2 linked regions of the Ovis aries genome follow. The protein of the gene in region 2 interacts with the protein of the main gene of each other region in a pairwise test. Links are inferred from orthologs where the notes say so. Each region holds a gene or a part of one and is shown on either strand. Other genes may lie near its edges.

Evidence for each region.
Region 1: the proteins of CCND2 (region 2) and CDKN1A interact in binary tests that used the Homo sapiens proteins (3 or more experiments, as listed by UniProt). The link is inferred for Ovis aries from reciprocal best matches to the Homo sapiens genes CCND2 and CDKN1A.

Annotation. Positions count from the first base shown.
Region 1 is NC_056073.1:10,678,914-10,684,677, forward strand, and holds CDKN1A (cyclin-dependent kinase inhibitor 1), read left to right. Parts: upstream 1-2,162; coding exon 2,163-2,598; coding exon of another isoform or gene 2,599-2,795; exon of another isoform or gene 2,796-4,033; coding exon 4,034-4,083; downstream 4,084-5,764. UniProt on the Homo sapiens protein: Plays an important role in controlling cell cycle progression and DNA damage-induced G2 arrest. Involved in p53/TP53 mediated inhibition of cellular proliferation in response to DNA damage.
Region 2 is NC_056056.1:211,597,135-211,602,338, reverse strand, and holds the end of CCND2 (G1/S-specific cyclin-D2), read left to right. Parts: exon of another isoform or gene 1-3,134; intron 3,135-3,914; coding exon 3,915-4,064; downstream 4,065-5,204. UniProt on the Homo sapiens protein: Regulatory component of the cyclin D2-CDK4 (DC) complex that phosphorylates and inhibits members of the retinoblastoma (RB) protein family including RB1 and regulates the cell-cycle during G(1)/S transition.

The DNA of each region.
Region 1 (5,764 bases), on a different chromosome or scaffold from region 2:
GAGCTGTGTGACCTTGGGAAACTTACTTAATTTCTCTGAGCCTTGGTTACCTCTTCCGTAAAAGAGCTGATATAGCCATTTCTTCTGAAAATTAATATCCATAAACTTTTTTACAACAGCCCTTGGCTCATAAAATGTGTAAATAAGTCTCAGTCCTTATCCCTGAAGAGAGTGAGCAAAGGTTATTTATGGGCTTTGTCCACTGTGCTGTGTAACCCCTCTCTCTATGTGGTATGTGGCAGCTTGAGTAGACGCTATTGATCTTTTTAACCGTGTGGGTTCAGGGCAAGTCTTAAAACTCCTGCCCTTTAAACTCGGTCAGAGGTCATCTAGTGCCCTCCCCTCCCCTGTGTGCTGAGACTTGGAGCTGTGGGCTTCACTCACTGTGAGAGGTGGAGTGGGGACAGGTAGGTATGGTGTGGGTCCAGGGCTGCTTGCCCCAGGAGGACCCTCAGCAGGGCTTTCACCTTCAGAGCCTGCAAATCAGGACGTGTCCCCAGGAAAACCCAGTCCCTGTTAAAGTCATGCAGGTGCTCAGACCTGGAGTCAAGCCAGAGCCGGGCAGGGAGGTGCCAGCACCCCCTCATGGGCAGGCTCACCTTCAGTGTTCCCTCTCCTTTAGTTTTCCCTCTCCCACTTTAGTGGGAGGAGAGGAGCCAGGTAGACCGGTGCCTTTAATTTTCTTTGCCTGCAAAACGGGTTCCTTGGATGCAGGCAGAATGGGGCAGGGGCTTCCAGGTTGTCTAGACTTCAGGTCACCTGATGTACCTGGCAGGATGTGGCTCAGCCTGGGAGAAATCATTGCTCTGCCCTGCCCTGCCTGGCTCCTCCTTACCCGCAGGCTGCCTGCCTGATGACATCCTTGGGAAAGGCCCTCAGCCCACAACACCTGTCAGCTGCTGTCTGAAGGAGGCGGTGGCCCAGGTGGAGTGATGGGGAGGAGTCAGCCAGAACTAAAGGCAGAGAGAAATAATATTCTCCAAACACTTTCTCTGTACTTGGTACGGCTCAGAGGGCGTTATCTACAACCGCTTAGCGAATTCTCACATCTGGCCTCTGAGACAGTCGCTGTTGTTATCTCCTTCTAGAAATGACACCAGAAATAGATGTCCCTTTCATCATAGGCGACTGGAATGTAAAAGTAGGAACTCAGGAGGTACCTGGAGTTACAGGCAAGTTTAGCCTTGGAGTACAAAGTGAAGCAGGGCAAATGGAGTTTTGCCAAGGGAACGCACTAGTTACAGCAAACACCCTCGTCCAACATACACAAGAGACAACTCTACACATGGAAATCTCCATCTTATACAGGAGGAAAACAGAACCCAGAGAAGTTAAGCCACTTGTCGAAGGTTGCCCAGCAGAGCCTGGATTCCAACCCAAGTGGCCTGGTTCCAAAGCCCTCACCTTGAACCACCAAGATACAGCCGTTGAACTCTGCTCCATCTGCCTTGCCTGGCGGGGCCCGCCAATCATTTCCTTGAGCCTGCGTCTACAGCCCCACTCTTTAGACATGTATGCAGTCCCATTTTACAGATGAGGAAACTGAGGCCGGGGGACTTGAAGTGACTCTTTGAAAGTTGAGGTAGGAAGTGGCAGAGCGAGGACTAGAACCCAGGTGCTTTTAACCCCAAAATCCAGAGTAGTTTTAAGTCACTGAGCAGGATTACTCCACATGAGCATCTAGATGGAGGGATTTGAGAGGAGGCATCCATTTTCTTGGGAATTGACCTCCCCGGCCAGGCCTGGAGTTAGGAAACTGCTGGACTCTGACAATTCACACATACCTGGGGGCATTCACACCCATGAGGGACACCTCAGTGGGAAAAACAAATTGATTTTAGCTGATAACACCCAGTGGTAAACAGGACCCTGATCCCTGCTATTGCAATAAACTTGCCTTTGTTGACATAAACTTGCCCTTCAGCTGCCCACTCCCCCAGTGACCTGGGGGTGTCAGGCTGACTGACTCTGCCCCTCACACCCTTTCTGTGGGTGGAGGTTGGGAGAGCCTGTGGGAGGAACCCGAGAGCCCCTCTCACCTCACTTTCTAGTAAGGAGACTGCGCCTGAGGTTACGCAGTGGCATGGCCCAGAGAGGGAGCGTCCGACTTCCTGAGTGTCTCACGTGCCCCGGGTCTTCCTTGTGTTCCAGCCACAGGTGCCATGTCTGAGCCGTCCAGGGACGCGCATCAGATCCCCCGCAGCAGCAAGGCCTGCCGCTGCCTCTTTGGTCCAGTGGACAGCGAGCAGCTGCGCCAGGACTGCGACGCCCTCATGGCCAGCTGCGTGCAGGAGGCCCGAGAGCGATGGAACTTCGACTTTGTCACCGAGACGCCCCTGGAGGGGGACTTTGCCTGGGAGCGTGTGAGGGGCCTCGGCCTGCCCAAGCTCTACCTGCCCGTGGGGCCCCGAGACGATGTGGGAGGGGGCAAGCGGCCGAGCCCCTCATCCGCCCTGCTGCAGGGCACGTCTCAGGAGGACCACTTGGACCTGTCGCTGTCCTGCACCCTCGTGACTCGCTCCCCTGAGCGGCCCGAGGGGACCCCTGGTGGGCCTGGTCCCTCCCAGGGCCGGAAACGGCGCCAGACCAGCATGACAGGTGAGGACGGGAGCAGAGGTGGCGGCAAGGGATTAGGACTCCCAGAACTCACTGTGCCAGGGCTGACCTGTCTGGCCCAGCTTACTCATCGCTCTGAGGGGTGGGAAACAGGCCCAGAGAGGGGAAGTGGCTTGCCTGAGGTCACACAGCAAGTCTACTACCAAGACCAATTAGCTGACATTTATTTGGAACATTGACTATGTGCCAGGACCTTTGATAAGTGTCTAGATTTCTTTTAGTCCTTATAGTGATCTAATATCATAGGACATTCTTGGCATCCTTTTACAGGCAAAGGAACAGGACTCTGAGAGGTAGAATGGTTTGCCTTAGGTCCCACACTGAATTTACCATGGAGAGTAAATGAATGATAATTTCCTGGCTGCCTTATCCAAACCTAACTCGCCTTCCCCTTCATACATACACACCTTCACCTGCACTTCCTAGCCTATTTTTCTCTTTTTGGCACTTTTTAAACTATCAACAGCTACTTCCATATTTTGATATAGTCCATCTTCCCAAATAGAATCCTATCATCTCCACAAGAAAGAAATCTGTATCTCTCTTGTTCATAATTGAGTCCTCAGCACCTTGGATGGTGTGTGACACATAGTAGGTGCTTGAGGGAAATGGAATAAGTGAGGCTGGCAGTTGAACACTATGCCAGGCCTTCAGCCAACGTCTTTTTATTTTTTACTTTACAAATGTATTACTGTTATTATTTTGGCTGTACGGCTTGTGGGATCTTAATTCCCTGAGCAAGGACAGAACCCAGGCCACCTCTGTTGAGCGCAAGGAGTCTTAGCCACTGGACCACCAGGGAAGTCCCCACCAAGGTCTTTCCGGAAACATTTCATTTAATCCTCTGAGCATCGTACCAGCGTTATCCTCATTTTATAGGTGAGGAAATGGAAGCTTGGAGCAGTGCAGCCAAGAATCCCACAGCACATTTGCAGCTGGGTCAAAACTAACAATAATGATAATAATAATAACTAACCTTTATATGGCTCAGACATCATGCAGAACGCTCTCTGATATATCAGGCTCTGCAAAGAAGCAGATGCCCAGTACCGCTGGCCACATATCACTGCTGAGTGTTTGCCATGAGGAACTAAATTTTTCTATTAGTCTAATGCTAGTTAATTTAAACAGCCGCCTAGGGTTAGCGACCACTGCATTTGGGCAGCTTGGCTTAAAGCAGGCCCATGCATGTAAAGTCTGTTATTGATCACGTCTGTGAAGCGTGGGGGGATGTCCTGTATGTATGTAGCCCTCCGGGAGAGAGGCTAGAAGTTTCCAGAGTTCTTCCCTATACTTGGCAATGTGTCTCTCGGGCCCTGGGGAGGGGTCCCTGGCCCCTCTGCAGGTTGCACTGCGCAGGTGGCTCTGCTGGGCCCTCTTCCTCCTGACCTGGCTGACATCTGTTCTCTCCCCCCAGATTTCTACCACTCCAAACGCAGGCTGATCTGCTCCAAGAGGAAGCCCTAACCCCGCTGCTGGAAGCACGTCCTCGTGGAAACAGGGGCCCACTGCAGGCCTCTTCTGTACCTTTTGCCTTGGTCCTTCAGTTTGTGCGTCTTAATTATTATTTGTGTTTTAATTTAAACGCCTCCTCTTGTACATACCCTGCTTGCTGCCACCCTTCCCACACCCCCAGCCTCTGGAATTATTTAAAAAAGAAAAAAATTAGCAGAAAAAATAGGCTTATTAGATTGCTAGGTATTTTTATTATATGAACCGTTATTTAAACCCTCCTCATTCTTTGCTCGGAGAAGGCAATGGCACCCCACTCCAGCACTCTTGCCTGGAAAATCCCATGGGCGGAGCAGCCTGGTAGGCTGCAGTCCATGGGGTCGCTAAGAGCTGGACACGACTGAGCAACTTCACTTTCACTTTTCACTTTCATGCATTGGAGAAGGAAATGGCAACCCACTCCAGTGTTCTTGCCTGGAAAATCCCATGGGCGGAGCAGCCTGGTAGGCTGCAGTCCATGGGGTCGCTAAGAGCTGGACACGACTGAGCAACTTCACTTTCACTTTTCACTTTCATGCATTGGAGAAGGAAATGGCAACCCACTCCAGTGTTCTTGCCTGGGGAATCCCAGGGACGGGGGAGCCTGGTGGGCTGCCATCTATGGGGTCACACAGAGTCGGACACGACTGAAGTGACTTAGCAGCAGCAGCAGCATCCTTTGCTTTCCTCGTCCTCGCTCCTCTGAGGCTGGCGTGACCCCCATCCTCTGGGTGGCACTCTCTGGAGGGGCCTGGTTCCCTCCCCCCTGCCATCTGATGGGTGTTACGAAGTCTCGCCCCCTCTTTCCTGCATTCTCAGACCTGAATTCCTTACAATCTGAGAAGTAAATAGATAGCACTTTGAAGGGGGCCCAACAGAGTTGGAGGCATCATCAAAACTTTGGGTTCCCCTTGCCCCTCTAAGGTTGGGCAGGGTGACCCTGAAGTGGGCACAGCCTGGAAATGGGGCTGCGGGATTGGACACCCTTCTGGCCCTTGATTCCCACCTCCGTCCTGTGAAGGCATGGGGAAGGTAGGGGCCCGTAGCAAACCACCCCTGCCTCCCACCCCCCCACCCCCATCCTCAGGGGAGCCAATCTCAGTGTTTGGCTTCCCTGTCCCCTGCATTTTTCCAGGAGCCCCAGAGGCCCCTGTTTCCCAGCCAGGCTCTCAGTCCCTCTCTGCTCCTCTCCCTTCCTCCATGCCCTTTCCCTTTAGTATCTTCTCAGCCCTGGGTGGCAGCTCTGAGGGGGTGCCCTAACCCCCAACTCAGTGGACTGGTGGAGGAAAGGACATGCTAGACATAGGGTTCCCCAGTTCTACCTCAAGCAGCGACTGCCCCCTGCTCTTAGCTCTTGGGGTGGGGGGTCCTGGGTGGTCAGGCAGGCCTCCTTGAATGGGGATCTCTCTGTGTTAGGGGTAGGTGGGTGAGGAGCAGATTTTTCCAGGAGGGACAGTGTGACACCAGCCCCTGGAACTCGTCCAAGGACTTTTTCCATTGGCCCCACCCCTTCCCCCATTTCATTGCACTTTGAATAACAGCTGAAGGAGTCAGATGGCGGGAACAGAGGCTGTGGATAGGATATGCTAAGTGGGCAAATATGGGTCTGGGAGCTGTGAGTCATTGTCTTTCCTGGCGCGGAACCTCTTGGTGGGCC
Region 2 (5,204 bases):
GACACTGGGGGCCGATGGTAACAGTTCCGCAGCCCATTCACCGAGGCCGAAGAGGGTGCAGGGCGCGGAGCTGGAGCCAGCAAGCGGAGGAAGCTGGGGCCCAGGGGACGGAGCCCGGCATCACAAACGCCGCTGTCAGGGCTCCGGGGGCCAGGGCTGGCGGGGGGAGGGGGCCCAGCCTCGTGGGGCTGGAGGCCTGCCCGACCCCCAGCGCTGGGGAGTGCCACCTGTCCAGGCTGACAGACGAGCATTATGGCTCTCCTTCTAATCAGCTTAATTTGGGGCATCTCGACACAATGGCTGGTGCTTTTGGAGGCTGCTGAGGAGCAGAGGGCCCTGGGGCATCTTTGCATCCGAGGCGCTGTTGCGGTGGGGTTGGGGTGGGGCGGTTTCCAGGCCGCTCCTGGGCTGTGTCTGCCTTTCCTGGAGATTCTCTGGTCTGTCTTTCCTTAGAGCCTGGAAGGAGCAGAGAGTCGCACAGGGAAGAGGGTTCTGGAATAGGAAGCTTGCCCTCTGAAAACCAGGGTTAACGTCTGACTACATGTGACTGGGGGATGAGCCAGCTCTAATTCGGTTCTCTAAGCTGGGAAGTGAGGGCCACTGGCTGTTACAGCTCCCCCTGCCCCAGAGCCCGTATTCTCAGATTCTGTAAGGATTTACCTGTGTCCACCTAAGAACCCCACCCGAAGACACACTGCCGTCACTCTTCCCCAGCTTTGCCTCTTGTTCCCTTCAGACTCCACAGCTTGTTCCCCCATCTATTTGTTTGTTTCCGTCTATAGGCTTGGCCGCCACCTCCCTCGGAGTCACACCCTCCACCCTGGTCCCTGCTGGGGAGATTGAGAGCCCTTTGGGCAGGCCTTGGTGGGGGTGCCAGTCTGCTGCGGGTAGGGGCACCAGCCCACCCTCCCTCCAGCCTCACTTTCCAGCAGCTCACAGGAAATTCACAGTCGTAGGAACTCCACAGAGGGGAAGGGCTCCTGCGATGCTGAAGGAAGGTGTTAAAATGCAGGGAGTGGGGAATTGCCTGGAGGTCCAGTGGTTAAGACTCTGCACTTCCACTGTGGAGAGCACCGGTTCTATCCTCAGTCTGGTAACTTAAGATCCCACATACTGCGGCCAAAAAAAATTATAGGAAAGAAATGCAAGGCATGAGCTCTGTTCTCCAGGAAGAAGGAGGCTGATTTCTTACCTTTGTGCCTCCAGCAGAGAACTTCAGCATCCTTTATGCAAAATGAGCTCTTGCCCTCAGGTAGGTTTTCATCCCACCAATAGCAACAGATCCCACAGTTAAAACTTGGATGCTGTCAGCAGTGGAACCAGAGGAGGGTTAGACTTGGACCTCAGAGTGCTTCCCAGGAATGGGAGAGAAAATTGGCTGCTGAGAGCCTTTGCTTCCTGCTCCATCCTCATTTCTGCAGCAACTGCTACGGTCCTTCCTTTTCTCTCGAAGCAAGAAGTATCAAAGAGGAAGAGCTGGTCACTGTCAAAAATGATTTACATTGACTGAAGGAAGGAGAGTCTGTGTTTTGTGTGATATCTTTCTTCATTTTATTCAGGAAAGCTTGAAGGTTTGGGGCTGCAAGTTAATGTACTTGTGATGTTCGATGCCTGTGTTATCTTGAAGTCCTGTAGAAGTGACTGCCCGGTGTACCAGCCCGCCCCGAAGGACTTTCTCAGAACTTTCCTTTTAGGGTCTCAGGCTGCTGGGAGGGAAGCCTGAATACCAGGAAGATCAGGCACCTGGGTGACCTGCAGGGAGACTGTCCATGACCCCCTATCAAGCTGCTTAGCTCTCTGGAGCCCCATCCCCATGTTCAGAGGACCACCCATCTCAGCCGCTGGTGTGGCTAATGCAGAAATGGTCATGGCATCCTGGGTTCATCGTATTGTTGGGTAGCAGTTGTGTTGACACAGAAACAGAGTCTTGGAGGAAGGAAAGTCGACAGGGTTGGTGGAGAGCTTCGTAGGGGACCAGCCAGAGCAGTGTTGACTGTTGTCAGTTTTTGCCTTGTTAACCTGATGCAAAGAGTGAACTCATTGGAAAAGACCCTGATGCTGGGAAAGACTGAGGGCAGGAGGAGGAAGGGGCAACAGAGGATGCGATGGTTGGTTGGCATCACCACCTCAATGGACATGACTTTGAGCAAACTCCAGGAGATGGCGAAGGACGGGGAAGCCTGGCGTGCTGCAGTCCGTGGGTTCGCAAAGAGTCTGCATCCCTGCTGGACGCTCCATCCCTGGTGCGCGTTCCTCTGTGCCCCTCACCTGTCTTGAGCAAATGCTCACTCGTACCTCATTTCAGAGAAACCTCAGGAATTTGTTCAGATTCCAAGACTTCCACTTTGTGATGAACGATTAGAGCTTCATTTGGACATCTCAACTGATCCTCCCTCTGTGAGCGTCTCCTGAGTCTTACATTACAAATGGGGAAACCAAGGACAGAGAAGGAGAATAACTCAGTGGTGCCCACAGGTCTGGTCGTGGGGACAGCAGATACCACCTCCCTCTGTCCCTCTTCACTCATTCTGAGTGGTATTTCGTATCTGCTCTCAGCGCTCGGTCCAGATGTTAATTTTCCTAAAAAGCTGTGGTTTAACAGTGTACGGTGGCCGAGAGATACAAAAGGAAAATGTGGGGGCATGGAAACTTTCCTGGGAGTTCCAACTTTATTTTAGATCTTTGGAAAATAGAGATAATGCTTGTGTGCTTGGCAGACTGCAACCTCTGGGCAGTGAAAATTGCGTGGTGGAGCAAACACAAGGGGAACATACATGAAACTCTGAAAAGACCCAGGCAGAGTGGAGTTCACATAGTTTCCATACGTTTACGAGAGTGCCAGGAAACCAGTCTTGATGAGTAGAGAGGTCGGGAGATGCTGAGTTGGCCAAAAAGTCCATTCAGATTTTTCCACAACATTTTACAGGAAAAGCTGAACGAACCTTTGGCCTACCCAGTATCTGCTGTGAGCAGTTACTTCAGCTCTCGCCCCGGTTGCTAGTGCCAGCCACCGTCCCACCCTGACGACGCCCATGAATTCCTGCTGCGTCAATGTCGCCCAGTTTAGAGGAGCTTCTGCGTGGGGCTGACACACCCTGAATCTTCCCTACCAAATATAGACTGATCTCAAAGCAGTGCTGCAGTTTTTTCTTTTTGCTTTCTCCCAAATTAGACGGCTTAAGTGTCCAGAACGTTGTAAACACTCTGTGTTGTGTTTTTTATGAGAGTTAAAGAAATGGTAAACAAGTGGAGAGGCGAATCTGCTTGTTTCTGAGTACGGTTGCAGTGGCTGGGAGGCTCAGTGTAGTTTAGTCCTTTCGCTTATATCTGCCCTTCAGGTCGTCTAGTTCTGTCACACTGTCTGGAGGGCTCACCTTCCCCTTTTCACACTCACCATGCAGTGGCCCCAAGCAGGAAGCATCCCGCTGGCCCTTGAGTTACCAGGTGCTGCATGGCCGCAAATGGCCCCTCGCCTTGGCCAGCGCTGCCCGGGCTTCTGATGAAATGCACATCCTGAGATGCAGCTGGTTCGGAGAGGGCTGAGAATCGCATTTCTAGCTAGCTTCCAGGTGGTGCGGATGCTGCAGATGCTGCTGGCCTGTGGACCCCGCTTGGAGTGGTTCCCCGGCCACCAGGAAGACGCACCTCCTTCCATGTTGACTTTCTTTCTACTGGAAGCAGAGAAGGACATGGCAGCCCACTCCAGGATTCTTGCCTGGGAGATCCCATGGACAGAGGGGCCTGGCGGGCTGGAGTCCAGGGGGTCGCGAGAGGCGGAAATGACCTGGTGACTACACCACCACCACCTGCTGGCGTGTGGAGTCAGGCGGGCTGGAATCGTGCGTGCTCTCTGTTGATTGCTGTGTCCCGGTGCCCTTGCTAACGGCCCTGGTCTCGATGCTTCTCTCTTCTAGGATTGCCTCAAAGCCTGCCAGGAGCAGATTGAGGTGGTGCTGCTGAACAGCCTGCAGCAGTACCGTCAGGACCAGGGCGACGGATCCAAGTCGGAGGATGAGCTGGACCAAGCCAGCACCCCTACGGATGTTCGGGATATCGACCTGTGAGGATGTGGGGCGGGCCCAATGGGAGGGGTGCGTCCAATCCGCTCTCTCCTTCTCTCTGGTTGTATTTGGTTCTCTTACATTTTAGGATGAAACTTAAAAAAAAAAAAATTCTGCCCCCACCTAGATCCTATTGAAAGATCTTTTAGAAGTGAGAGATAAAGGTCCTATAAAAACAAAATCATTACAAGCATTTGGTGCCTATTTGAAGTACAACAGAAGGGAATCCCTTATATATGCCAAGTTACTGTTTGATGATGTTAAAAGTCATAGTAATATGCTTACAGGAAAACCTGCAGAGTAGCTAGAGAAAAATGTACGCCTGCACTATGGGAACAAATTAGAGACTCTTTTTTTTCATGTTATGAACTAGCACGTATATACCCCTGTTGGATAATTTGGAAGAACTGCGGATGCCACGTATGGCAGGATTGGATTGTGAAGCAATGAACTTGAGAAGGAATTAGGAATCAAGGAGGGACAGGATGGGGAGGGAGTGACAAACGATCTCAGCGCAATCGAACCATTTTGGGTGGAGAAGCGCCTAACTCCCAACCACCTGTTTGTTGCTAAGCAATGCTGGGTCTCTAGTGACAAGTCTTGCTGCCTGCCGTAGCTGCTACCTAAAAGAGATGTTCTGTTTTGCCCGTTGGACACAGGTGATTGGATCCTGGGTTTCATGTTTTTCTATACCTTGCTTCTTCTTCCAAACTCGGTTCGTTGCAGACACCACCCCATTTTTATCTTAAAGGGGCAATCTAGCTATGGGCCATCCCCCAAACTCTGTGAAATGGAGGCAGACGGAGCCCCAGGGTGGGATCTGGAACTTTTTTTTTTTTTCTCCTGAGGTGTTCAAGAGAGTAATGTGACCTTGGCATCCCTCATTAGGAAAAAAAAAAAAACGTGATTTTTTTTTTTGGTGCTGATTGGCATGTCTGGTCCACAGGTGAGCGTTGGTATAAACCATTCCATTCGAAAAGCACTTTGAAAAATTGTTCCCGAGGGGGTAGATGGATTGGTTTATGCAAATCATACAGAGTAGAGGCCTCCTTCCTTCTCCTGTGCCCCCTCCCCTCCTGCCCCCCAATCAGGTTGCTGTCCTGTATCCGATACTCTCTGGGTTCCCCTCCGGGGACTCAAAGA